Linked DNA regions of Cricetulus griseus. The protein of the gene in region 6 purifies or fractionates together with the protein of the main gene of each other region. This does not show direct contact. Links are inferred from orthologs where the notes say so. Each region holds a gene or a part of one and is shown on either strand. Other genes may lie near its edges.

What was found.
Region 1: the proteins of Src (region 6) and Pxn purify together in Homo sapiens (co-immunoprecipitation; 4 studies listed by BioGRID and IntAct, with this or other methods). This does not show direct contact. The link is inferred for Cricetulus griseus from reciprocal best matches to the Homo sapiens genes SRC and PXN.
Region 2: the proteins of Src (region 6) and Pdgfrb purify together in Homo sapiens (affinity purification with western blotting; 4 studies listed by BioGRID and IntAct, with this or other methods). This does not show direct contact. The link is inferred for Cricetulus griseus from reciprocal best matches to the Homo sapiens genes SRC and PDGFRB.
Region 3: the proteins of Src (region 6) and heat shock protein HSP 90-beta purify together in Homo sapiens (affinity purification with mass spectrometry; 3 studies listed by BioGRID and IntAct, with this or other methods). This does not show direct contact. The link is inferred for Cricetulus griseus from reciprocal best matches to the Homo sapiens genes SRC and HSP90AB1.
Region 4: the proteins of Src (region 6) and Ikbkb purify together in Homo sapiens (affinity purification with western blotting; 3 studies listed by BioGRID and IntAct, with this or other methods). This does not show direct contact. The link is inferred for Cricetulus griseus from reciprocal best matches to the Homo sapiens genes SRC and IKBKB.
Region 5: the proteins of Src (region 6) and Pecam1 purify together in Homo sapiens (affinity purification with western blotting; 3 studies listed by BioGRID and IntAct, with this or other methods). This does not show direct contact. The link is inferred for Cricetulus griseus from reciprocal best matches to the Homo sapiens genes SRC and PECAM1.
Region 7: the proteins of Src (region 6) and Rack1 purify together in Homo sapiens (affinity purification with western blotting; 4 studies listed by BioGRID, with this or other methods). This does not show direct contact. The link is inferred for Cricetulus griseus from reciprocal best matches to the Homo sapiens genes SRC and RACK1.

The regions. Positions count from the first base shown.
Region 1 is NC_048597.1:95,638,564-95,642,576, reverse strand, and holds the start of Pxn (paxillin), read right to left. Parts: upstream 2,801-4,013; 5' UTR 2,786-2,800; coding exon 2,746-2,785; intron 2,642-2,745; coding exon 2,415-2,641; intron 2,164-2,414; coding exon 2,054-2,163; intron 1,719-2,053; coding exon 1,582-1,718; intron 1,494-1,581; coding exon 1,292-1,493; intron 313-1,291; coding exon 177-312; intron 1-176. UniProt on the Homo sapiens protein: Cytoskeletal protein involved in actin-membrane attachment at sites of cell adhesion to the extracellular matrix (focal adhesion). Recruits other proteins such as TRIM15 to focal adhesion.
Region 2 is NC_048595.1:178,033,331-178,036,830, forward strand, and holds part of Pdgfrb (platelet-derived growth factor receptor beta), read right to left. Parts: intron 2,996-3,500; coding exon 2,872-2,995; intron 2,368-2,871; coding exon 2,156-2,367; intron 1-2,155. UniProt on the Homo sapiens protein: Tyrosine-protein kinase that acts as a cell-surface receptor for homodimeric PDGFB and PDGFD and for heterodimers formed by PDGFA and PDGFB, and plays an essential role in the regulation of embryonic development, cell proliferation, survival, differentiation, chemotaxis and migration.
Region 3 is NW_023276807.1:31,888,691-31,892,897, forward strand, and holds the start of heat shock protein HSP 90-beta, read right to left. Parts: upstream 2,801-4,207; 5' UTR 2,662-2,800; intron 1,427-2,661; coding exon 1,280-1,426; intron 1,164-1,279; coding exon 957-1,163; intron 732-956; coding exon 572-731; intron 167-571; coding exon 33-166; intron 1-32. UniProt on the Homo sapiens protein: Molecular chaperone that promotes the maturation, structural maintenance and proper regulation of specific target proteins involved for instance in cell cycle control and signal transduction. Undergoes a functional cycle linked to its ATPase activity.
Region 4 is NW_023276807.1:61,028,470-61,031,969, reverse strand, and holds part of Ikbkb (inhibitor of nuclear factor kappa-B kinase subunit beta), read right to left. Parts: intron 3,101-3,500; coding exon 3,051-3,100; intron 2,920-3,050; coding exon 2,820-2,919; intron 2,642-2,819; coding exon 2,494-2,641; intron 1-2,493.
Region 5 is NC_048600.1:119,634,657-119,638,156, reverse strand, and holds part of Pecam1 (platelet endothelial cell adhesion molecule), read left to right. Parts: intron 1-1,219; coding exon 1,220-1,522; intron 1,523-3,022; coding exon 3,023-3,298; intron 3,299-3,500. UniProt on the Homo sapiens protein: Cell adhesion molecule which is required for leukocyte transendothelial migration (TEM) under most inflammatory conditions.
Region 6 is NC_048599.1:22,117,671-22,121,909, forward strand, and holds the start of Src (proto-oncogene tyrosine-protein kinase Src), read right to left. Parts: upstream 2,801-4,239; 5' UTR 2,567-2,800; intron 1,810-2,566; exon of another isoform or gene 1,680-1,809; intron 1-1,679. UniProt on the Homo sapiens protein: Non-receptor protein tyrosine kinase which is activated following engagement of many different classes of cellular receptors including immune response receptors, integrins and other adhesion receptors, receptor protein tyrosine kinases, G protein-coupled receptors as well as cytokine receptors.
Region 7 is NC_048600.1:63,461,552-63,464,419, reverse strand, and holds the end of Rack1 (receptor of activated protein C kinase 1), read right to left. Parts: intron 2,743-2,868; coding exon 2,632-2,742; intron 2,197-2,631; coding exon 2,056-2,196; intron 1,180-2,055; coding exon 1,069-1,179; intron 613-1,068; coding exon 547-612; 3' UTR 501-546; downstream 1-500. UniProt on the Homo sapiens protein: Scaffolding protein involved in the recruitment, assembly and/or regulation of a variety of signaling molecules. Interacts with a wide variety of proteins and plays a role in many cellular processes.

The DNA.
Region 1 (4,013 bases), on a different chromosome or scaffold from region 6:
GAGGGAGGAATGTTCCAGCTAAAGGCATCTCTGGTTTCTCTGCCTTCACAAGCTGCTAAGGAGCTCAGTCTTGAATATTACCTAGCCTCTCTCCTCCAGGGCCCCGAGGAGCTGCTAGTCATACTGAGGAAGGGTAATGGATGGGAGCAGGGAAGACAGAGAGAATCAGAGGGCACCTTAAAATCCGACAGTGAAGCCATGAGCTCGTCCAGCTCCCTGGTAGCAGAGGAGGCCGAGATGCGTGTCTGCTGCTGGCTGGAGGTGACTCGCTGTGGGCTGCTCATCTCACCTTGGTTCACAGTGATAGCCGGGCTGTGGGGCAGGCATGGAGTCAGTAAGGAGCCCAAGGGTCAGCCCCAGGCTCCACGGGGGGGGCTCCAGATCAACGACACCTCCAACTCCAGGGAAGGCCACCAGAACCCAGCAGCACCTTAGGGATCCCCATCCCTGGGAAAGAGTGACTAGCTAAGAAACAGTGCTGAGGTGAGGTGACCAGAGAAGGTAGGTGGTTCACAGTACCCCTACAGGAAGACAGGGGCACCACTACAAAGCCTCTCAACACTATACACATGCGAGATTATTACACATCAATAAACACTGACACATGGTGGCTCATCCCTGTAACCCAGCACTTGGGAAGCTGAGGCAGGAGGGCTACTACATAGTGAGTTTCAGAAGAGTCTGGGATATAGAGTGAAACCCTACCTCAAAATAAACAAGACCTGACGCTATTAGGGGCTTCCCTAATAGCTGTGATTGCCACAGCTACGAGCCAGCCCCCACCCCCCCCAACATTATATACTATTATATACTATTTGGTCTCACTCTATTTACTATGTAGGGTCATCTCCATTATTACTGTCTGCTTTACCTATTTTATAGTTTATGTCGTATTTTTGCGCTATGGTCTCATGCAGTTCAGACTGTCTTGGAACTCACTTATATAGCCCAGATTGGTCTTGCACCTGAGATCTCCAAACCTCGACCTCCCAAATGCTGGGATTATAACCATGTGTCACCATGCCCTACTTTGGCTTATTCCAACTTATAGAGCGAGAGTAAGACTGTTGTAGCTGGCACAGCCATGATCTAAACCCTGTGCCACATCAGCAAACCTGTGCTAACCCTGGCTTTGCCGGGTCATGCCATATCCCCAGGACCTGGCAAGTAGCAGACACTGTAGGGAGCAGGTGACTTCAGGGCTGATGGACAGGTACCACACAGCCCGAAGACAGTCGGGGTGAGACTTCAAGAGCTTCCCCAGCCTGGGGAGACCCTAATGGATACTCACACAGGGCTAGGCACAGAACTCTCCAGTTCATCCAAGAGGCTCTCCACGCTGGGCCGCACATCCTCCAGGCCCCGGCCTCCATTTCGCTTTGGCTTCTCTTTCATCAGGGGCCCAGTTTTTCCTCCCAGGGTACTGTTACTCTCTGGGACACCATAAAGGGGGCTCAAGGCTCCAGGTAGTGGGGGGCTTGAGTTGGCTTCATCTTGGAGATAAGGAAACAAAATGGTTGCTCATCCCTGAGTCCTCTAGGAACCCAAAGGCCCATGAGTAGTCCAGAGACCCGCTCACACCTGCAGGGAAGCCTGAAGGGTTGTGCTGCACAGCGTTCAGTTCTAGTAACAGACGGTCAAGCTCCGAGAGGTTGTTGCCCAGGGAGGAGCTCATCATGGTAGGTGAAGGCTCTGCGGACTTGTGTTTGTTGGGGAAGCTTTGAGAAGGAGAGGAAACAAGTAAGACTCTTCTGCCCTGCACTGGATGTGGCAGGCCCCAGATTCTCAAGGCCGGAGGGGTGGAATGTTACCAAGTCTCTTCAGCAAGAAGGCGGAGGGTAGGGAAGGAATGTGGTAAGGCAAGGAGGAAGGAAATTTTGCTTCAGTTTCTCAACTACAGAGATGCTGTCTCTACAGAGAAGGCAGTGACAGGGCAGAGGGGAGCCAGCTGACAAGCACAGGGCCTGGCAGGGGCCTTCAGGCCTTCTATAGTTCCACCAGTGGCCCTAGGGTTTCCCAGAAGCCGGGCTGATGTACAGTGCTGGTTCTGTACCTGTAGACGTGTTCTTCCTCGCCTGCTCGGGAACAGAGAGCGCTGTCCTGAGGGTTAGAGGCACCGGAAGTCTTAGCACTGGAGCTGTACACAGGTGACGGGGATGGAGGCTGCAGAAGAAAGAGTACTTTACTCAGGCCACCCCCAGGCAGCTCCTGCTCATAGCTTGTCTCACCAGGGAATTTCCACAGCTAGTCAGGTGATTAATACTTGGTCACTGGCCCCTCACATGGTGGGTGAGAAGGGCAGTGTATGACTAGGAGCCCAGAATCCCAGTCCATCCCCAATGGCTTTCCATCTCCTCGGCAGATCAGCTCCTTTTACCACTCAGCCCCCAAGGGCTCCGCAGACCCCACCTTACCTGCTGGTGAGTGTATCGGGAACCACTAGGCTGCCACTGGTCTAAGGGGTCAAGGATCGTGCCATTGAGGGCCTCGCTGGATGGGGGTGGTGGAACAGGGGGTGGCACTGCAGTCTCCTGATAGGTATGGTTTCCAGTTGGGTAGGAGTAAGGGGGCTCCTCTGACAAGAACACTGGCCGTTTGGAGATGTGGGAGGTGGTTGATTCCAAGTCTGCCAGCAGGGCGTCTGCAAAGAGAAGACGTCCACTGGTGAGAGTTGGCCCTATTGGGCACTTCCCAGGGGCAGTGTCCTGCCTTCCTGAACTTGAAGAGATCCTGTCTGGCAGACACCTGCTGCTTCGATGGGAGAAGAGACCTGGAGTTTCCACATCGGCTGCCCGTCCTCTCCTCCCTCAGGGGTTAGATGCCTGGCTCTGCATTCCTCCTGACAAGGCTAGGCTGCTGCTGCCTGGTGTAAGCAAGAAATGCCTGCTTAGAACTCTGATTCCTGAGGGCAACTGGGAGAGCTGGGTGGGAGGAGTCCTACGTCATGTCACAGCACAGGGAGGGGCTGGGTAGATAGAGCCAGGTCCTCTCTGGACTTCTAAGAGCCTCAGCCCAAGTCTAAAGACAGGGGGTGGCCTTAGGGAGCACCTGTGCTCCAGGTAGGAGCGGAATTCCATGCTCTAAGCTCCTCCTGAGGCCCCAGGCTGTGGGTAAGGTATGCAGAGAGGTAGGGGGCTGGCATGAAGCCAGCTCGGCAGCAGCCACCCCCTCAACAAGCTGGGAGTAAGACTGCTCTGCCAAAGCCTGGCAAGCAGCCCAGCCCTAGAAACTCCAGGGCCCCATGACTCCGCTTTTAATGGGGGGTGGGTCAGATCTCCAACACAAGCTGCCATTACCCTGGCATGCAGTAGCCGACAAGAGGCTCAGGTTCTCGACAGGAAGGGACAGCTAGAGGGACAGGAGTTGGAGGTACTGACCTTCCTGCCATAGCCTCCCATCTTGGGACCTTCCACAGTGCCACGGCCTGGGTACAGTCCAGCCCCGCTCACCACACCCTCCCTCCTTCCTGCACTGCTCACTGACCTGCTCACTCTCAGCATCTAGTGACCTGCTTCCTGGGCCCTCGTGAGTGGCAATCGAGGGGCAGTGGCTGCACTGCACTGATCACCATCTACTAGGAACCACTAAAGGCATCTACACGCGTGGTCACAAACAAGTGCCCCTTCTGGTGACCTAAAAGGCCAAACTGTTGTCTTTGGAGCTGAGGAAAGTAGGCTTGGAGGCTAGCAGTACCTGCCCTGAGTGATAAAGCAGGAAAGGGCAGGATCACAAGACTCCTCAGACTCCTTAAGTCCCAGACACCAAGCCTGCAGGAGGGACTGCTGTGATTTCAAAGAGACAAGATACCAAATCTAAGGAACTCAACTTCCTACACACCAGGGGCTCGAGCTCTGATCCTTGCTGGCGGCCCTGTCTGTAGCTCCATTCCCATGCAGAGAAAAGGGAAGCAAGGGCCTTTGAGGTCATGCCCTCTCCTAGCAGCCCTGACTACCTGTCACTAGGGTGGGTGCACCTACCCCTGGCTCCTGCTGTATGGCTGGACGAGAAGTTGT
Region 2 (3,500 bases), on a different chromosome or scaffold from region 6:
AGGACCAGCTGGTGTGTCTGGTGGGGCAGTCATAGAGGGCACTGCCCAGGGCACTGAGGTGAACATGCAGGTCTCCCTGGGCTCCCTGAGCCCTGAGTCTTCTCTGGCCCAAGGCTCCAGCCTCCCTGCTACCCAGTCAGTCTGGATGAAGCCCCAGCCCCTGTCCTTCCCCGATTAGCAATAGCTGCTGTCTTCTGGGAACTTTCGTCTTCCTCCTATGTCCTCTTCCTGCCCTCCTCTGTTCCCCAGGGAGTCTTCCTCTGGCTTACTCCACATTCTTTCCTTCTTAGGGTCACTGACTGACATCTTTGTCCTCTCTTCACAACAGCCCCCACATCCTGGTCTTGCAAAGGGAGCCTGCACCCTCCAGGGACCCATCAGAGTCATCCCAGGTCTCTGTGTAATAGTACATGGTGTCCTGACCAGATGTCACACAATGACTTTCATTCTGCCTTTACTCAGGCCCAGAATGGGTCTCTATATGGCAGGCTGTGCACATTTTGTTGTGCCCACTTGCTCAGGGATATGTGTGCCTATAAGAGAGTGTGGGAGAAATGAGGGCATTTTATTTTAGATATTTATTTTATTTTTATGTATGTGTTTATGTGTGCAACTGTATTCCTGAATGCCATGTGTGGATGCTGATGGAAGACAGAAGAAAGCATTAAATCCATGGGATTTGGAGCTACAGGTGATCGTGAGCCCCCTGACATGGGTGCTGGGAATGGAACGCAGGTCCTTTGGAAGAGAAGCAAGCTCACTTAAGCTCTGAGGCGTCTCTCCAGCCCCAGTAAGGATATTTAAAAAGCTCACTCATCTTCTAAGGGCAGGTGACAGGTATGTACATAGACAAACATGTACAAGGCTGTGTGGGGCAGCCTGTGTGTATGAGTGTGTGTGTGTGTGTGTGTGTGTGTGTGTGTGTGTCTGTGTATGTACAAAATGTCTTTTGAAGCTCTGATTTCTCTGACTTCTGTATCCTATAGCCCCACTCCTTACCACTTCCTTCCCTATTACTCCCCCACCCCGCCCCAAATCCACATAGTTTGCTTCCAGACAGTTTGGTTTCCTTGAACTTCTCAGAACCCACTCCACCTCTAGGCTTTGGCACAGGCCTCCTTGGCTGCGACACCATGCCTTCACAGGCTAACACCTGGTCATCTTTCGGTATTTGATGTAAAACTTCTTTTTCCTGGGATATTTCCTCAATCCCAAGGTTAGCACAGGGCTCCTTCTGTCTCAGGGCTGCTCCCTGGAAGTAGTGTTCCAGTGTAGGCTGGCTCACTCCTCGTCTGCCTCCTCCCTCTGGACTGACCCACTGGCCTCTGTACCCTAGTGAGTTTGGGTCCCCATAACTTACTGAATAGGAAATAGGTGGATGATGAAGCATGCATACATGTGAAGGCATGGGTAAGTGGGAGATATGTACACACATCTGGACTCTGGCAAGCACTGTTCATATGTTGCACAATAACTGTACATATATGTGCAGCTGCTAATGTTTGTACATTGTCTGGAGGCGTATGTGTACAGAGTTGTGCTCAGTGCTTTTTTGTTTTTATATGTTGCAATTGTGTGAGTACAAATATGAACCATGCCAATGTTCACATTTGCACAGGAACTGTGCATGCATGATTTATGCACATGTAGGGGGTTTGTGCTCCCCACCTGTACATGCATACAGACATTCATTTTGTAGATTTACATGCAAGTCTTGGGTTTGGGCAGGCTTATACACACAGCTCACAAAAATATATCCTGCAGTTTTATATACATGGACAGCGTTGTGCATGCTTGAGCACATGCTAACACGAGTGTACTCAGGGGATTAGGCATCCTCAGCACAGATTGCATGTGCACATGAAGAGTGTACACCCGAGTCCCAAGATCAGCCTACTCATGTTCAGAGTTTACAGCATGCATCATGCATAACAGTTCATTTTCCACACTTGAGTCAATGCTTTTCATGTTTGTGCACTGGTGTCCACATCATATATTGTGTATGTGCATAAGGACATACTCTGGTGGGTTTTGTAATGTTACTATAGGCTTGTGAGCATGCTCACTTGATCCATTTTGGGCATGCAGGCACGGTAAAGCAGGATCAAGGAAGGAGTGAGAGGTCATCAGAGCCACCCAAGGCTGGGGCACTCACAATGTGGTACCACGGTGACCTCCTGCGAATCTCTGCCCATTGAGTTCTGCAGCATACAGCGTACTGACAATGGCTGATCCACATGACGCAGGCGCAGTGTGCTCACCACCTCATATTCCTGTTCTTCTTCCCAGAAAGTCACATTAGTCTCTAGCTGGTTCTCCTCCTTGGAACTGTTCCCCAAGGGTGTGGGTGACAGCTTTCGTGGACACCTGCCAGGAGACACAAGGAGATTGGCGTACAGTCTCGCTTAGTTCTCCCTCTGCATTTGGGGAAACTAAGTCTTAATTTCTATGACTGCTTGGTCCTTAAGTAGGTTCCTACTGTGTTGTCTAGAAGGACCAGCAGGGGGAGCTCCTACTCCAGAACTGAGACTCCTCAATGGCAAAATTCACTCATTTGACCCTCAGTGTGTCAGGCAAACCCTGAACTCTATCTACTACACTCAACTCTGGTCAGAGATATAGAACAACTACTGGATGAATTAGACCCCTCTGGGGGCCAAACCCTGCACCTTCCTGGGTTGAGGATGGCTCAGGGTCAGGGTAAGAAAAGGAGCAATTTAGGTTATGCATGGTATCTTCAGGAAGGCAGAGGACTGATCTAAGATGTGGCCTGGGCCTCTCAGCGGGGAGAGGTTGATCTAGGTTAGCCTACACTGGGTCATTCTAGGCAGCTGTGGGTACTCTGGGAGGCTGGAGCTCAGGTGTGCTCACCTTTTGAGGTCTCGGCAAGTAGACCACGTGACATTTGGCTGAGGCATGCCCCGACCACGACAGCGGATTGTCTGCTCCCCATTGGCAGGGTGGCTCTCACTCAGCTCCAGCACACGGACAGGGACTGAACAGAGTACAGGGCAAGGAAGTGGGGTGGTAGGAAAAGACCTCAGGGGAACATGTTCCAGAGTCCCCCCACTCCCCAACCCCTAGGCAAGGGACTACAGGGGAGCATCAGACACCAGGAGTCACAGTGTGAAAAATGACAGGTTCCTCTCAGTACTTCGAAGGGCAGGGCTCAGAGCCTGTCTTTAACATCACTCTGAGACTGTCTTTTCCCTTAACAAAGAGAGAAGAGGCCTGGAGCCCAGGGTCCTGGGCAGCCAGGTTCATAAGGCTAGACTTTGACAGCGTTGTTTTGTTTTCTCTGAATTTATTTTAGTGGTTGTTTTATATTTATGGCATATGACACTGAGTTTCCATCTACAACGAGATGCTAAATTTTGTCTTTCAAAACAGACTTATTTTTAGAAAGCTAATTGACAAAGCATTAAGTCTTTATCATGTCATTTCTATGCTCAAGTCCCTGTCATGGCTCTTCATTTCAGTCACAATGGAAGCCAAAGCTG
Region 3 (4,207 bases), on a different chromosome or scaffold from region 6:
GACTGCTCAAATACTGCCAAGTCCATACTCACATAGAGGGTGATGGGATAGCCTATGAACTGCGAGTGTTTCTTCACCACTTCCTTGACCCTCCTCTCCTCTAAGTACTCTGTCTGGTCTTCTTTGAGATGAAGGATGACTTTGGTACCCCGGCCAATGGGCTCACCTATAAAAAAGTGAATGATAGAATCAAGACATAGAAAACTACAACTAAGCTGGGCGGTGGGGTGGTGCACGCCTTTAATCCTGGCAGGAGGATCTCTGAGTTCAAGACCAGCCTGGTCTACAAGAGCTAGTTCCAGGACAGCCTCCAAAGCCACAGGAAAAACCCTGTCTCAAAAAACCACAATGAAGAAAAAAAAAACAAACAAAAAAACTACAACCAAAATACTCAACCCCCTGCTCCCCATTTTGACACAGGGCTTCTATGTAGCCCAGGCTGTCCTAAAACAAGAGATCCATCTGCCTCTGCCTCCAAAGTGCTGAGATTAAACAGTGCATGATCAAGACTTTGGACTTTCTATCCTCCAGAGAATTCTACCAAGCATCCAAACGAGGACAGGCAGCTTACCATGGTCTGCACGCACTGTGAAGGATCCACCAGCAGAGGACTCCCAAGCATACTGCTCGTCATCATTGTGCTTTGTGATCACAACCACTTTCTCTGCCACGAGATAGGCAGAGTAGAATCCAACACCAAACTGCCCAATCATGGATATGTCTGCACCAGCCTGCCAAAGGATTTTAAAAGTTAAGAGGTAAGTAAAATGGTTCTGCACAAGTGCTTGCTGAACTCAAGTGTAACTATCAAGTAGTTCAATCCCTGGGACCTACTGGCCAGTAATCCTCTGATCTCCATAGGTTAAAAGCCTACCATATCACTAGTGAAAACAAGTACTGAAAAATTAACAAGTCAAAAGCAGTATTGAGAATGTTGTGGATATAGGGCCACACACCTGGAGAGCCTCCATGAAAGCCTTTGTGCCAGACTTAGCAATGGTTCCCAAGTTATTTATGAGATCAGCTTTGGTCATGCCAATGCCCGTGTCCACCAAAGTCAGCGTGCGCTCCTGAGGGTTGGGGATGATGTCAATCTTCAGCTCTTTGCCGCTGTCCAATTTGGAAGGGTCTGTCAGGCTCTCATAGCGAATCTTGTCCAAGGCCTGTAAATAAACACACAGCCACATTATTCCATTTCTGCAAACATTGTCTTGGCTCTCAACCCACGGCAGACTCCTCTCAATCCCTCACTGGGCTTCTATGAAGCTGTGATACTCACATCAGAAGCATTGGAGATCAATTCTCGAAGGAAAATCTCCTTGTTTGAGTAGAAAGTATTTATGATCAAGGACATGAGCTGGGCGATTTCTGCCTGGAAGGCAAAGGTCTCCACCTCTTCCTCGCCATGGTGCACCTCCTCAGGCATCTAAGAAAGCATTACACATTAATTACTAAAACGATGGATGCACTTTAAACTCCAATTCAAAATGCTTTAAGCTGAGTAGTATCCATTCCCAAGGGATGAGAACCGCCATTTTTAAAAAGACCTTGAAAAGCTACAGTAAGCTGGTAAACCGAAAACGGAAAAAACTCAAAGGATGGATGGTTCTTCAAACAAACGCAGCCAAAACGGTATACTACAGCTCAAACAGGCTCAACCCGACAACATACCTTGTTAAAATTCAAGAAATGATAATTCGTTAGCTACCCGGTGAACATATACAGGAAACCCTTTACAACTTTATTTGGGCAAAAAAGAAACTAACAGAAACAGCAGCCATTTCTATGTGCCGCTCCATCCTAGCAGGAGCAGGGAACCCGAGGCTGCAGTCATGGAGGCACTCAAGGAGCAATTAAACCAGGACAAAGAGGTAAAAGCTCCACCATGACCTCTCTCACTGCGCAGACTTGCATAGCCCTGAACACAAGTAAAATGGTGGCCCGAGCCTTCCAGCGACCCTCGTCACTGCCGGACACGCGTCGGCGGCAGCCATCGGGGAGGGGGCGCCACCGCAACCCTCCCACTGCCCCAGCATCCGGGCACTGGGGCGGGGCACCAGGAGCTTCCAGAACAATCTGAGCTCCAGGGCGGGGAGGAGTAGGGGAGGGGTAGGGGAGGGACCAATGGATCTTCCCGTGCCAGCCCCCTCCGGGTTCCTCCTCCTCCTTCCCCGGAGCGCAGGAAAGATCTGGAAAGGCAAATGGCAGTGCGCTCAAGCGTCCCTGCCACCCCGTGGACGACCCCCACGCCCAAGAACCCCAACCACGTTGGGAAAGGCGTCCAAAGGAGGCGGCCAGGCCAGCCTCACAGGGCCGTGCTGAGTCACGCCGCGGAGCCCGCCACCGCGCGGCCCCTTCGGACCCTGCAGCTGCGCCCGGAAGTGGAGGGCAAACATGGCAGCGTCCCAGGTCGGCGCCTACCACGTGCGGCTGCCTTGCACACAGCTGGGCCGCGCCCCCACCTCACGCGCCGGGGCCCCAACCCGGGGCCCCAAGGAGCCTCGCCGAGCCACCCCGCGGGGCCAGACGCAAGCAGCTCGGGGTACACCAGCCCACAGGCCGCCCGGCTGGGCGGGGACCTTCTAGGACGGATGCGAATGGGGGGGGAGAGCCCGGGGAACGAGCCCCGGGAAGCCGCAGGGCCGGAGGCCGCGGCCTTACCTTGACAGGAAAGCCGAGTAGTAGTACAGGGCCGGGTGGGCTCGGAGCGCGACCGACTCGCACGCGGAGGTTAGTGTGCGCGGGGGTGACTCAAGAGAGCTCCCAGACGCCCCCGACCGCCCTATATAAGGCGAAGCACAGCTCGGCCCCGCCCTTGGATCCCTCCGCCTCAGGGGGCGGGGCCGCCGCCCGCACCTGCCGCCGCCCGCCCACCTTGACGTCATGGTAGCAACTGGGGGCGGGAGGGGGGGCGACCCGGGGCCTGTGCGGCGAGCCGAGGCCTCTCCTGCACGACCAGGACAAGGCCATGGCAAGATGAGGGCCACGGGGTGCGCTTATGCTGCTAGGGATGTGTCCACGCGCGGATATCCCGCCGACTCCCCCAGAAACCTCGAGGCAGGCGCCTCCACCCCCGACTCGCAAGAGCACCGAGATGGCTAACTCGGCTGCCGTTCTCTGAGCCCACCTCCCAGAGTGTTCCCTACATGGAGAGAGCAGGACAGTGGGACATTCGCTGTCCAGCTGGAGGGGGTCCCGATGCCCACCCTCCGGAACGGGGCCGCAGCTGCAGGCGGCGAGCAGCTGCTCGGGCGGGAGGGGCGCGGGCCTGGGCTGCCAGGGACTCTTTGGCGGCGCGCGGCGGAAGGAGCAACGCCGGCGGTACTGCGATTTCTTCCAGCAGTTTCTAGGGCTGTCTCGGCGGTCTCAACCCCTCCCCCCGAGGCTCCACCTCCCCCCGCTGCGGCGGGGGCAGCCGCTCGGCTAGGCGCTACCTACTGCCCGGCTCTTAATGCCGAACTGTGTCCCCCCCCCCAATGCTCCTACTGTGCGCTATGGTTAGACGACCCCGGCCCTGGGAGCCCCACATTGCTGCGGGGGGGGGCGGGGGTGGAACGCGGGATGGCGCCCAGAGAGAGGGATGGCTGACCTGGATCGGTCGCAGGGCACGTGATCTGCGGGGGTGAGTGACTGCGGACACCTTTCTGTGAACAGACCGGGGACCCCACACTGATGGGTGGGACACTCCCCACCCCCCAGCCTCCGAGGTGGCCCACGGACAAGGCGCACGGGGCCGTGCGCCCTCCCTTTGCGAGCACTGCAAGCTGCTTCTCAAGCTGGTTTCCCTTTTTCTAGCACTCTTGCCTCCTGCAGCTCTTTGGACCTAGGGAGAGGGAGATCTCCATCTTATCAGATTAGCGGGAGCTCTAGGCAGCTGCGTGAAGATGCTAGTCACGGGTTGGCCCAGTTCCAGGTGCCAGAACCAAATTGCGCTAGTACCTCCGCCCTGCCTTCCCACTGGGCTGTCTGTCCAGGCCTCGCCTGTCCGTCTAGCCTTGCCATTTTCCAAGGCCGCCTCTGGAAGCGAGTTGGGCTGATGAGCCCACCAGGAGAGAATGGCCACTCCGTGCTCTGTAAATGTTCCTCTCCTTTCTTTGCCGGCTCTGGCCAAGGTCTCCGACGCCACCGCCCACACCTTCCTTCCTAGTGCGTGCATGCAGCCCATCTTCCCCAATGTGCTTTCATTGTTTAGCAGTGGTTGCCTTCC
Region 4 (3,500 bases), on a different chromosome or scaffold from region 6:
GCTCTTGCAGAAAATAAATCTAAAAGAACAGGAAGGATCTGGGCAGTGGTGGCACATGCCTTTAATCCCGGCACTTGGAAGGCACAGGCACGAGGATCTGAGCTCGAGGCCAGCCTGGTCTACAGAGCAAATTCCAGTTGAGCCTCTGGCCTCTCCTTAGTTGGTGTGCACATGTGCTTTACACTTCTTTACTCAGTCTAGTGTTCTCTTTCAAGTCCTCATCTGCAATTCTCACTAGATTATAGTGGATGCCATCCTCAGTTCACCACGTACCCCCACTTTCACACCACTGCTGGACACTCCATGAATGCAGGTGGCAGAGCAGGGCATCATTGTGTTATCTCAGATTTCCCCCTTTCCCTACCTTCTTACAGGAGGCTATATCCTCCAGCTCCCATCCCCAGGCAAATCTGCCAGGGACGCTCCTGATTCTGACTCCTTCAGTTCTCAGGAGTGACAATGCCCTGCTGCTATGAATCTCCCAGGACACCATCTCCTCCCTTGGCCTATAGAGACACTCCAGTCAAAAACCTTTACAAGGAGACTGGAGAGAGGGCTCAGAAGCTGCTCTTCCAAAGGCCCCGGGTTCAACTCCCAGCATCTTCACAGTAGCTCACAACTGTCTGACTCCAATTCCAGGGCTTCTGACACCCTCAAACAAACATACAAAACATACATAAAACACTGAGGAACATGAAATAAACATTTAAAAAAGGCTTTTTATGAAGCACTATTTTGTATCTTGCTTCCAAAATAAGCCACCTCCTCTTCTTTGCCCTTTTGGGTTGTTTTGTTATCTGAGGTGGGGTCGTACTATCTTGTCAAACTAGCCTTGAACTTCCTACTCCACACTCTCAGGTTCTGGGATCACAGGTGTGCACCTCCACGCTAGGTTCTCTCTTTGCTCTTGAAGCTACTAATGACTGAACTTTTCTTTGGCCAGCTTCTCTTTCTCCTTGGTCTCTTTTCAACAACAGGTCCCTGTGTTCTAAGGTGCGCTATTACTCGGCTCTTTCCCTTCTTTTTCTTTGTTTTGTTATACTTTTTTTCCCTGAGTAGTATACCATAGCTGTGTTATGATAGTGTGTACATGTTCACAAGTGTGTGTGTGTGTGTGTGTGTGTGTGAGAGAGAGAGAGAGAGAGAGAGACAGAGACAGAGACAGAGACAGACAGAGAGAGACAGAGACAGAGACAGAGAGAGAACAAGCAAGCTCATATCTTGGAATAATCCAGGAAATGAAATATCTTAAATAAATTGAAGAAACTTAAAAAAAAAAGGAAAGACCCCTCCATGCTCACAGTTTGGTAGACAATTTTGAAAATAGCTACACTACCAAAATCAACTACATATTAAATGCAATCCCCCGTCAAACTTCCAAGAAGAGAAATAGAAAAAAAAAAAAAAAAAAAAAAAAAACCTCAAACTTCATATACAAAGAACTCTAATTAGCAGGAAAAATCCTAAGCAAAATAACCAATGCTGGAGCTACCACCACCTTAATTTCAAGTTATACAGGTGAAGCAGCACAGTAACACTAGCAGAATGGCACAAAAATAGACCCACGGCGGGCTGGAGAGATGGCTCAGAGGTTAAGAGCACTGGCTGCCCTTCCAGAGGTCCTGAGTTCAATTCCCAGCAACCACATGGCCTGCAAGGATACATGCGGGCAGAACACTGCACACATAATAAATAAAATCTTAAAAAAAAAAAAAAAATAGACCCACGGACCAATAGGGCAGACAGAGCACCCAGGCAGAAATCCACCCAGGCACAGAAATCTGATTTGACAAAGACGCCAAAAATAGTCATGGGAGGAAGGCAGTCTCTTCAACAAATGGTGCTGGGAGAGCCAGATATCTGCATGTAAAAAGTAAGACTGGGCCCCTGTATCTGTGTGTGCATGCCTGCATGACTGTATGCATGCATGTTGCTAGGGACTGAACCTGGGGCCTTATGCATGAGGCAAACATGGCTCTGCTGAGCTTCACCCCTAAACTCTAAATGCGTTCTTGTAAGAGTCCTTCAGATGAGAAACACTGATGTCACCTGAAGACACAGATACAGATGACAAGGCTTGAGCCACTAAAGCTGGGAGGGTGGGGGTGTCTCTCTGCTCTCTGTTTTTTTTTTTTTTTTTTTTTTTGAGACAGGGTTTCTCTGTGTAGCCCTGGCTGTCCTTGAACTTAGAGACCCGCCTGCCTCTGCCTCCCCAGTGCTGGGATTAAGGGTGCCAGCTGGATTCTTAGCTCTGAAAGAACAATGTCTGCTGTTTGGAGCCCCTCTACTTGTGGTAATTATAGTAGTCACATGGGTAAGTAACACCTCACATAAACTTTCCCTTCAGGAATCTTCCTGCCCACTCCATGTCACAAATAAGTGCCAGTCGAGCAGCGCTGAGGAGCATGGGTCAGGGAGGGGAGATAGATGGAAGGGACAACACACACAACACCAACATGGGGACCTGAGAGGCTGGAGCAAAGGTCCACTCACACAGGCAATCTTCAGGAGGTTCCAGAGCTCCTTCTGCCGCTTCTCCTGAAGGCGGACCACAGTCTTCTCATCCTCATTCATACGGCTCACCACGTCTTCTACCTGGGGCAGCAACTCCAGTGCCTTCTGCTTACAGACCACGGTTTTACTGTAAAGGACAAATGAGCCACACACCCGTGAGCTCTGGGTGGGCACTATTCTGGATCCTATCAGCAACCACAGATTGTTTCTTCACTGTATAGGCAATTCAGAGCAAGAGCACCCATCTGACCCTCAGTTTTGCTATAATCCCACATCTTGTCCTGGAGCAGGAGCAGAGCACCTACCTGAGCTGTGTATAAATTACGCGCACTTTCTTCTCAAAGCTTTGGATTGCCTGAAGTAGCAGCCGAACCATTTCCTGACTGTCACCGTCTGTCCTCTGGTCTGCAGAGAACAGTGGCATAGCTCTTCCTCCTGGCCTCTGGGGGGTGGGGAGGGTAAGGGGGTAGGGGGAAGGGAGGGGCAGTGTTATCTCAAAGACAAGACAAAATAGGGCCAAGGCCAAAACCACCTACCTCTAGGCCTCTCCCTCAGTCTTCTATAGAGTTCCCTCGCTTGTTCCTCTCTGGAAGAGAGAAAAGGCTAGACTCAAGGCCTACCAATGGCATTTAAAGCACTACTCTAATCCTTGTCAGCAGAATCGATAGTTTTTAGACAACTAGACACAGGTTCTCAGTGGGAAAAACCCACCAGTTTTTGTACTATTTATAAAACCTAAATGCCTCAAACAAGGGCCAACTTAAGGGTTATACCCTTCTCTGCTTGGCTACAAGAGATTCAAGGTACCATCTCTGGATCTGACTAAGAAAATACTTGCCCTCAACAACTTGAATCCAGCCGGGCAGTGGTGGCACACAGAAGACCAACTAGCCCTGGCTGCACACACACAATCCTAGTACTCAGGAAGCTGAAATAGGATTCTGGTGAATTTGAGGCAAGTCTTGGCTATCAAGTACCAGAACATT
Region 5 (3,500 bases), on a different chromosome or scaffold from region 6:
TTTGGCCTAGTTTCCACATCCTAGGTGAAGAACCGGGCTTGTAATAGGCATTTAATACATTATAACAGTAGATGTATTACTACTACCAGAAGAAGGCTTGGTCTGTAAATTGCTTTCCACTCAAACAGAAGACCTGAGTGCAATCCTGAGTACTCATGTAAAAAGCCAGGCATGGCGTGTGCCTGTAATCCTAGAGTTGGGTGGGGTGTAGACAGGAGGATCCTTGTGGGGGTAGACAGAGGGATCCCTGAGGGGGGCAGACAGAGGGATCCCTGAGGGGGGCAGACAGAGGGATCCCTGGGAGGTGCAAACAGAGGGATCCCTGAGGGGTGCAAACAGAGGGATCCCTGGGGAGGGTAGACAGAGGGATCTCTGAGGGGTGCAAACAGAGGGATCCCTGGGGGCACAGACAGGAGGATCCCTGGGCGGGTAGACAGGATCCCTGGGGGTAGGTGGGTGGAGCAAATAGCCTAGTTGAATCATTGAGATCCAAGTTCAGTGAGAGAGCCAGCTCAAAAAATAAGGTGGATGGAGAGCAACTGACTGAGATGCCCCTCATTGGCCTGTGGCCTGCACATGCATCTACACACACACACACACACACACACACACACACACACACACACACACACACTCACACACACACACTCACACACACACTCACACACCACACACACACACACACACACACTCACACACACACACTCACACACACACACACACTCACACACACACACACACATTCACACACACACACTCACACACACACACACTCACACACACACACACACTCACACACACACACACACACACACACACTCACACACACACATACTCACTCAGACAATTAACAGGGTTTCACTATGTAGGCCTGGCTATCTTGGAACTCACTACATAGACCAGACTGTCCTCAAACTCACAGAGATCTGCTTGTCTCTGCTTCCCAAGAGCTGGGATGAAAGGTGTGTGCCATCACATCCAGATTTTTTCTGTTTGAACTGTTCTAGTTGGGAATCTAATTGCACCACCTTCGGAAGGGGATTGTAAACCATTGGGAACACCAATCTTACATTTTTAAAATACCCAGTAGTATGCCAGGCATCCACATTCCTAGTGATTACCTAGGGCATTGGACTGAGTGATCAGCCACAGTAACAGATAAGGGAGACTGGGCCATAATGAGGAACTGATCCTAACTGTACTTTCTCATTCTCCAAAGGCGTGCCCAGCCCCACTGTGACACTGGACAAAAAGGAGGTGACAGAAGGTGGAGTTGTGACTGTCAATTGTTCTGTGAAAGAAGAACTGCCACCGATATATTTTAAGATTGAAAAAGTAGAACTGGGTACAAAACTTGTGAAGCAAATAAGAGACAAGACTTCGAACCAGAATTTCGTGGTAATGGATTTCCCCATCGAGGAGCAGGACCACGTGCTAGTGTTCCGATGTCAAGCTGGGATCATGTCCGGGATCCAAATGCAGACCTCAGAATCCACCCGGAGTGAATACGTTACGGTGCAGGGTCAGAATCCTGCTCTCCTTACACTCTTTTTGTGTTTGTTTGTTTGTTTGTTTTTTGTTTTTCAAGACAGGGTTTCTCCATGTAACTTTGGAGCCTGTCCTGACACTCACTCTGTAGACCAGGCTGGCCTAGAGCACACAGAGATCTGCCTTCCTCTGTCTCCTGAATGCCGGGATTAAAGGTGTGTGCCACCCGGCACTTCAGAGGCAGAGGCAGGCAGATCTCTCTGAGTTTGAAGCTAGCCTGGTCTACAGAGTGAGTTCCATAACATCTTCCAAAGCCACAGAGAAACCCTGTCTCGAACCCCCCACCCTCAAAAAGAAAAAAAAAAAAAGTGTGCCCCACCGCTGTCCGGCTTCTGCTTACACTCTTGGTGCTGACAGGTTGCATGTAGCAAAAAGGAGCCCAGAATCAGGGAAGCTGAGACTCCCCCCCACCCCAACCCTCCCCCAAGTGTCTGCTCTCAGAATTTAAAACCTGGTACATAGACCATAATCCCAGCCCTGTGTAAGGCAAAGGCAGGAGGATCAGGAGTTCAAGACTAGCCCTCAACTGTGAGACTCTTTCTCCCCTAAGTCAAATAAATAAATAAAATTAATTAAAAAGAAATAAGTTAGAGAAAGGGAATCAGAGGCTGGGTTTACCAGTGCAGGCCTGTAATCCCACCCACTCAGGAGGCAGAAGCAGGAGGACTGAAGATTCAAGGCTGGCCTCAGCTACAGAACAAGTTCAAGGCCAGTCTGGGCAATTTAGTGAGACCCTCTCTCAAAATAAAAAATGAAAGAGAGAACTAGAGATATGGCTAAGTGGTAGAACATTTGACTAGCATTTAGGAGAACCTGAATCCATTCAAGGAGGGTGTAGTGGGAGGGGAGGAGCCAAAAGAGCCAAAAAGGACTAGGGAGATAGCTTGGTCAGTAAACGCAGGTAAAGCTGGGTATAGTGGTGCACACTTGTAATCCCAGCCCCGGGAGCCAGAGACACTCCATGGTTCTGACACACTGCATGGTTACTCAGCCTAAGCCTTCTTATCCAGCCCCAACCCAATTAGAGATCCTGTCTCAAAAAAAACCAAGGCAAATGGGGCTGGAAAGATGGCTCAATAGTCATGCACACTGACTGCTCTTCCAGAGGACCTGGGTTGGATTCCCAGGCCCCACACCCACATGACAGCTCACAACCATCTGTAACTCCAGTTCCAGGTATCTGATGCCCTCTTTTGGGCTTCATAGTCAGCAAGTATGCATGTGGTTCGTGTGTGTGTGTGTGTGTGTGTGTGTGTGTGTGTGTGTGTGTGTGTGTGTGTAAAGCAAAACAAAAGATATAGCAGTGTCTGAGAAGTGATATCTGAGGTGCACTTCTGCCCTTCACACACACGTATAATTCACTCCTGCCACTGACACACACACATACACACAGTTCCTCCCACACAAATATTAGAGTAGGAAATGTCCAGGTTTGAACTTGAGTCCAACTGGCTTATCTTCTACTTTCTTGTAGAGTCCTTCTCTACTCCCAAGTTTCTAATCCACCCTTCTGGAGTGATCATAGAAGGAGACCAGCTATACATTAAGTGCACAGTTCAAGTGACACACTTGGTCCGGGAATTTCCAGAAATTATAATCCAAAAGGACAAGACTATTGTGGCCACCTCCAAACGGAACATTGAGGCTCTCTACTCAGTCATGGCCACGGTGGAGAATAGTGGCCATTATACCTGCAAAGTGGAATCTAACCGCATCTCCAAGGTCAGCAGCATCATGGTCAACATAACAGGTAGGAATGCTGAGGGAGACGGCTGGCAATGGTGGGCTCAAGGGGCAATTGTGACCGGACGTAGTTCCACACGTCTATAATGCCAGCATTTGGGAGGCTGAGGCAGGAGGAGCATGAGCTCAAGGCTAACCTGGGCTATCTAGTAGTACTCTGTACTGCAATCCAAGGTGGACTATGTGTGTGTTTAGGCTGGGCACTGGGG
Region 6 (4,239 bases):
TTATCCGCCTTACTCCAGTTTCTAGAAGCCAAGGACCTGTTCACAATTTCCCAGCAAGTCCCCAGGCAGATGACCTTCTGAGCAGAGGGGAAGAACACTGGTCCAGCTGCACTCTTGGCTAGCTGGCCACTGCTTGCTCCAGCTCAAGCTCCTCCTTCAGGAAGCTGTCGTCCTCCTACCACAAAGCTGCTCAACAAAGTTCACAGGCCCTAGTGCATAGTAAGTGCTCAATGTACGATCAAAGACAGCCGAGGACCAGGTGGATAACAGGGACAAAAACCATTTAGCCAGTCCTCCTTAGATCCTGGGACTTAGAGGACCCAGACATGCTCCATTCCCACCCCTACTGTCAGATGAGAATGGGGTAAAAGCCCAAGCAGGAGGCAGCCTATAAGCTGGAGGCTGGTGGGGGGCTGGGGAAAGGGACACGACAGGAAACAGAAGAGGATTGGGTGGGAGAGATAGGGTTGCCCTAAGGCTGGAAGAACAAGGATGAACATGAGATGGGGCGTGCCCCTAACACTCATTCTCAGTGTGTACCCCAGGATACAAGCAGTCAGCTGAGAGGTGACACACTATAAGTCACTTCCCCTTGTGGAAAGGCCACCTCACCGGGACACACCCCATCTCCAGCAGGGCCTTATGGCTCTGCCAGGTGGGGGTGATATGGGAGGAGTCTTTTTCCAACAATGCCTTGTTCCTGACCCCAAACTATACAGCCTTCACTGTCACTGCAGGTTAAAGGGCAGCCAGCCAGCTCCTCTGAAGTCTAAGTTCCAGTTCCAGCTGCAGACTGAGCTAGCCCCAGGAGGAGTTCAGTGAACCTCAACAGCTCTGATCATCATGGCTCCACCTGATTTATCTGTCCGTCCTGTAGTGCCAAGGCTAGCACCAGGGCCTTGGGCATGCGAAGCCTGTGCTCTACCACTGAGTGCCTTCACAATCTGATTGATCATTCCTTTCTGACAAGACTGAGGCAAAAGGAACCCAGAGCTGACTATATTCACACAGCTGTGGGCCACAGGAGGGTGCTCGGATATTGAGGCTCTAGGGCACCCTTCGAGACACAGTTACCCTCTCCTGCAGGCAGCTGTGCCACAAGCACCCCAGTCATCTTGTGCAGGCTCCAGGGTGGAACTCATTTATTGACACCCCACCCCATGCATGCCAACTCCTTAGCTGCCAGAAGCACAGGGAGTAATCACCTGAGGACCCTGTCACTGCTGTGAAGGATCCAAGGAGCAGCCCCCAGCTCAGATCACCCAGGAAAACAAGAGACTTTGATGCTTGGACTCAAAAGTCTGGAAAGAGCCCCATCCCCGCCCGCCCCGCCCCACCCCCGCACGCGCCCCGCCCCCATGCCCACCTTGGAAACTGAATCTGACTTCCACCCAGGTGAACCCATCACCATTGCTCACACAGTTTGTGAGTCAGGGAAGACCTTGTTTAGGGCCTCATAAGCCTCACACGTCTCTGTCCACTTTTCTCCCTCTGAATACCTTAGAGGTTTAGGGGTTACCCAGGGAAAAGTCCCCTCTGTCCACTCCACTCTTCAACCAGCCTAGCAGTCCTGGCCGTCTACCCATCACTGAGAAGGGCCTTGGCTCAGAGAGCTAAGGCAGTTGTCTCCAAGACACACAGCATGACAAGTGGTGGTTCTAGTGGGGACACAAACTCACCTCCAGTACCTGCCCGGGTGGGCAAGTGGACCTAGTAGTGGTACTGAAACACCAAAACTTTTGCCAACTTCGGAGCCGGCAGGTCGCTGGGCCCGAGGAGGGGCGAGGCTGGGGGCTGGCGGGGGTGAGGGGAGGACAGAGTGGCCCAGTCTCCGCCAGGCCAACAGCACCAGGCCCTAACCGAGGCCCGGAGACCCAAGGAGGTCGCGTGGCCACCAGGGAGCCCAGTCCCCAGCGCCCACCCCACCCCCAACCCCCACTCCGGGCCGGGGGCGCAGGGCCCCGCAGCCGCGATCGCGGGCGGCGCCGATCGGCCGGGTTTTCAGATGTGGCCTAGCCGGGCTGGGGACTCTGCGGCCGAGGGTCCCCACGCGCCGGTGCCCCCCGCGCCCCGCCCGGCCTCCCCCGCGCATCCCAACAAAAGGCCGCGCCGGGCAGGTCGCGGGCCGCGGCGGGGAGTGGGCAGGGCGGGAGCCCGCAGCGGGGCGCGGGGCTGGCGGGGCGGGGGCGCTCACCTGCGGCGCGGCCGCGGGCTCCGGACGCGCCCGGGCGGACCCCAGCGGGGCGCGCAGCGCTGGCGGGCGGCGGCCTGGCCGCTCCGGCGGGGCGGCCGGGTGGATTCCGGGCCGGGAGAGACAGACCTAGAGAAAGGGAGGAGGCGGCGGCGGCGGCGGCAGCGGCGAGGGGGAGGGAGCGCGCGGGAGGAGGGGCCGCGGCCGATGCGAGCCGGAGAAAGAAGGAAGCGCGGACCCGGGCCCCGCCGGCGACCCGGGGGACCTGCTGTGCGAGCCGGGCCCCGCGCCTCCCGCACCCAGCCCCCTCCCCGCAGCTCCACCCGCGGGGGCGCCCTCTCGCCCCGGACCAACCTAGCTACCTGAGCTACGCACCGATGGCTAGCACTATCTTCCAGACACGGAAACTGAGGCAACTGGCCACACCAGCTTTGACCTGATTGTCTTTAACCAGAGACTGGGACCAGAGGGGCAGAGTGAGGAGGAGAGAGGCAGCTTTATTAAAATGTATCAAGAGGCGAAACAGTGGCTCACTATGTGACACAGGCTGGCCTTGAACTTGTGGGAGGCTCCAGCTTCTGCCTATGGAGGGCAGGGACTGCAAGCATCAGGCCAGCCCTAAATTCATTTTCAGCGCATGCAGAGACCACGTACATCTGCTGGGAAGTATGCAGGTAGTCAGCCACTGAGGACAGCAGGATCAGCCAAACAGGAAGTAGAGAAGGAAAATGGGATAAGGGGGCGGGATGTGGTTTCAGGTTGGTCTCAAAGACCACCCCTCACAAACGCCAGTCCCTGTCCAGGTTCTAGGGCTGCCCCTTGGGCCAGGGAGGGGGTCCACCTCTGACTCCTCCGTTCCCCTCTAGAAAGATGAATCCGACCATCTGCCTCCATCCTCCTTCCTTGAAAGTGCTCCCATCTCACAGGTGGCCAACTGAGACCCAACCAGGTTAATGTGGCACCAGGCCTGAGCTTTCTCCTGGTGGAGACCCCTCCTGAAGGGCAGGTTCCCATCCTCCCAGAACATAAGAGGCTCCAGCCTCAGGGTACAATGTATGTCCCAGCAGGCCAGGAAGGAGCAAAGCTTTGAGTCAGGCTGATCTAAGTTCACATCTAGGCCAGGTGCCTCAGGGTTTGTTCAGTCATCAGTTTCCTGTTCCAGCCTCCTCCCGTTGTGAAGTAGGTAGGAGTGGACAGGACTGGGATCTGAAGGCCGCACTGCTGAGTGCAAGTGTGGCCAGGGTAGCCCACTGAGCCAGAAGAGAGAACGGGGCTGCTCAGGATCCTCATGAACAGCAGGCAAAGTAGCCACTCCTGTTTGCAAGACTTGCTTAAAGTTTAACGGCAGTTTCCCAGGACTCCCTTGGGCAGGCCCTGGCTGGAGGAGCAGGTTTCTCCGCCCTCTTCCCCGCCAAAGACTTGTCTAATGGCCTTCACTGGCCACACTGGGCTGGGGGAAGGGTGGCTACTCTTCCTGTAAGGTGCTGGAGCTGGTTCTCAGAGGCTTGCAAACACTTAGGACCGCTGTCCTCCTTCTCAGGGCCATATTCAGTGATGTCAGACTGGTCACCTGGCATCGGCCTCCAAGGAAGTATGTTCTACTTGGAAATGGAGAAATTTGACAAACCATACCTTAGCTTTTTCTTCCAGAGAGTTGCTTGTTAAATATTTGCCAGCGTATCACTACATCCATTGCTGGAAGTTCAACAGAAAGATCTGGACATTGGGCGTTTCCAAACCTAAGACGATGGAAAGCTTCAAAGTACAAACTTTGGACCCATGGGCTTGGGTTGAGGCCTCAACTCTACCTCTTTGCAAATATATAAATGACCAAGAACACGCCATTTTTCTGAGCTCAGTACACCAAAAACCTGCAAAATGGGTAAGGACAACTCATCCTCAGAATTGGCATGAGAGGAGAGAGAGGTGAGGTAGGTTTGAACTGTCTATGCGGCCTCACACCTGGAACTACCTCTAGCTCTGAGGTCACAGTAACAGCCAGGGCTCTCAGAGGAAATGGCCAGCACAATGGTTTCATTATGGAGTTT
Region 7 (2,868 bases), on a different chromosome or scaffold from region 6:
GGAGTCTTTCTTTTGAAGCAGCAATTTTGCTTCATGAAGTACTTTCCCATAGAAGCCCTGGAACTGCTTCTTAGCTGTCAGGAGCATACAATCAACCCTGAATTTCTGGTTCTTTATGCATTCCTAGGGTTTCCTGTTTCAGTGAGGAATGGGAGGTCCTTATTCATGTAGCTTACTTAGTAAGGACTAAATGTTATACGTAGATCCAAGTAGATGGGGCTAAATTCAAACTGGGCAGAGAAACCCTGCCTTGGAAAAAACTATTCTGCTGCTATTGCTAGAATGAAGTGCAACCAAGAAGGATAGATACACCATTGAGGAAGGCAAACATAGGTGGGCCTGAGTTTAGGACAGACAGTGCCATGTTGAATGTCCCAAAGTTTCCCATCACCCTAATATTCCCTGGCATAGACATGTATGCAAGCAAAACACAACAAATGGGAGAAGGGTGGGTAGGCGGGCAAGTTAGGAACTTGCTCACTAGACAAACCATAACTGAAAAGATTTCAGAAAGCCACTTTATTTCTAAGACTCTGTCATAAACTTTTAGCGGGTGCCAATAGTCACTTGCCACACTCGAACCAGGTTGTCTGTGTAACCGGCAAACAGAGTCTGTAAAAGAGAATGGCAACAGGGTCATGCCCAACAATGAATTGTATGGCCCCCAAACAAAGAACTTGTCTAAGACATGCTCAGCACACATTCCCAGAAGAAACAGCTTGCTATACTTTTGAAGCCTCTTCTAGAGGTCCAAATCATGAATCATTCCCCAGATAGATTATAGTATTTTCTGTAACTAGTCACCCTTTATCATTTCATTTGTTAATATAATAGTCTTTTTGTTTGTTTGTTTTTTTTCGAGACAGGGTTTCTCTATGGCTTTGGAGGCTGTCCTGGAACTAGCTCTGTAGACCAGGCTGGCCTTGAACTCACAGAGATCCTCCTGCCTCTGCCTCACGAGTGCTGGGATTAAAGGTGTGCGCCACCACTGCCCTGCTAATATATTAGTCTTATGCCCGTGATATGAAGAGTAAGCTGGAAGCTGAGTTGGCAGAATCAAGTACTTACCTGGCCATCAGCAGACCATGCCAGGGAGGTACACTGGGGTGGCTCTGCCTTGCTGCTGGTGCTGATAACTTCCTGCTTCAATTCATCTACAATGATCTTGCCCTCCAAATCCTGAAAACAAACCAAAATCAGGTAAGGATGCCCATAACAATTATGCAATGGACTTTTATGGTCTGTAGTATGTTGTCATACCATAGCTTTTTTTTTTTTAAATGGAGACCTTAAGATGGCAAATTAAAGGGCCTTTGCTTGACACCTAAAACAGTTTATTCCTCAAACTATGGAGGAGACAGAATTCCCTGGCTATGGGCCAGTTATCCTGTACCACAGACAGTAATGAACTACTTGGAAAGCCTATTTCTAATTCAGATTTCCAGATTATTTTTTCTTTCAAGGACATATGAAATATCAACCCCCACCCTAGCAACCCACAATCATTTAGAGGGCCAGTGGTTTAGTTATACAATTGGAGCTACTTGGAAGGCTGAGGCAGACTGCCAAGTTCTAGATCTGACCATGTAACTTAGTCAAGATGACTCCTCATAAATGTAAGGTCAGCCTGGGTTACACACTGTCCAAAACATAAAAATACCACATAGAATCCCCAGTCTTTTAGTTGATACTAGTGGCACATGTGGTAGGGATTTGATTTATGCCTCTCATGCATTAGCTAAGTGCTCTACTACCTGCTACACACTACTGGGATTATTTTTGCTTATCTTTCATGGTGTGTGGCTGTAACTGTTAATGGTCATCTAGTGAGTAGATACCACATATGCTGACAAAATAGCCTCTCAAAGGAGAATTACTTTGGCCCAAATGACTCAACAAATTGCCAAATATGGGCATTCCCTTTTATTAGTCAAATGTTGCCCAGTGCTGCTAAGTGTTAAGAAAAAATAATCCCAACTTGTCAACTGACAGCAGCTGAATGATGAATCTACCAATAAAGCTTGAAATCAATGTGGTGCACAACAGATCACTTACCCAAATCTTGATACTGGGGCCTGTGGCAGCACAGAGCCAGTAGCGGTTGGGGCTGAAGCACAAGGCATTGATGATGTCCCCACCATCTAGTGTGTAAAGGTGCTTGCCTTCATTGAGATCCCACAGCATAGCCTGGCCATCCTGGACGGACATAAATGGTGAGTTAGGATAGATAAAGCTAATGGTTGAAGTGTCAGCGTTCATGGTCCTAAGACCTTCCCTGTAATGTATAATACGTATATCAACTTACTTTTATTTATGTATACAGTGTGTTTTGCCTGTGTGTAGCCCTAATCCAGAAGAGGACACTAGATCTTATTAGATGGTCTTGAGCCACCATGTAGTTGTTAGGAATTGAACTCAGGACCTCTGGGAGAACAGTCAGTGCTCTTAATCCCAGAGCCATCTATTCAGCTACCAACTTAGTTTTAAAGGAAAATTTCTTTGGTATGCCTTTCTATATATTTTATGATAATCCTTAGAAACATTCCCACATTTTAAGCTCATCTTTTAACTGGTACATGCTATCAGATGAAAGTGTTCTCCATAAATAAAGATCAGAGGTCCCCTAAATACCTTGCCTCCAGAAGCACAGAGGGATCCATCTGGAGAGACTGTCACTGTGTTCAGATAGCCAGTGTGGCCAATGTGGTTGGTCTTCAGCTTGCAGTTAGCCAAGTTCCATACCTAGGGAAAAAGGTGAGTGACCAGGATTATGGCCACAAGAAAGAATAGCATCTTCCTTAAAGGTAACTCATAACAGGTTTTTATGCAAGCGCATGTAATCCCAATATTTGAGTGGCTGACACAGGC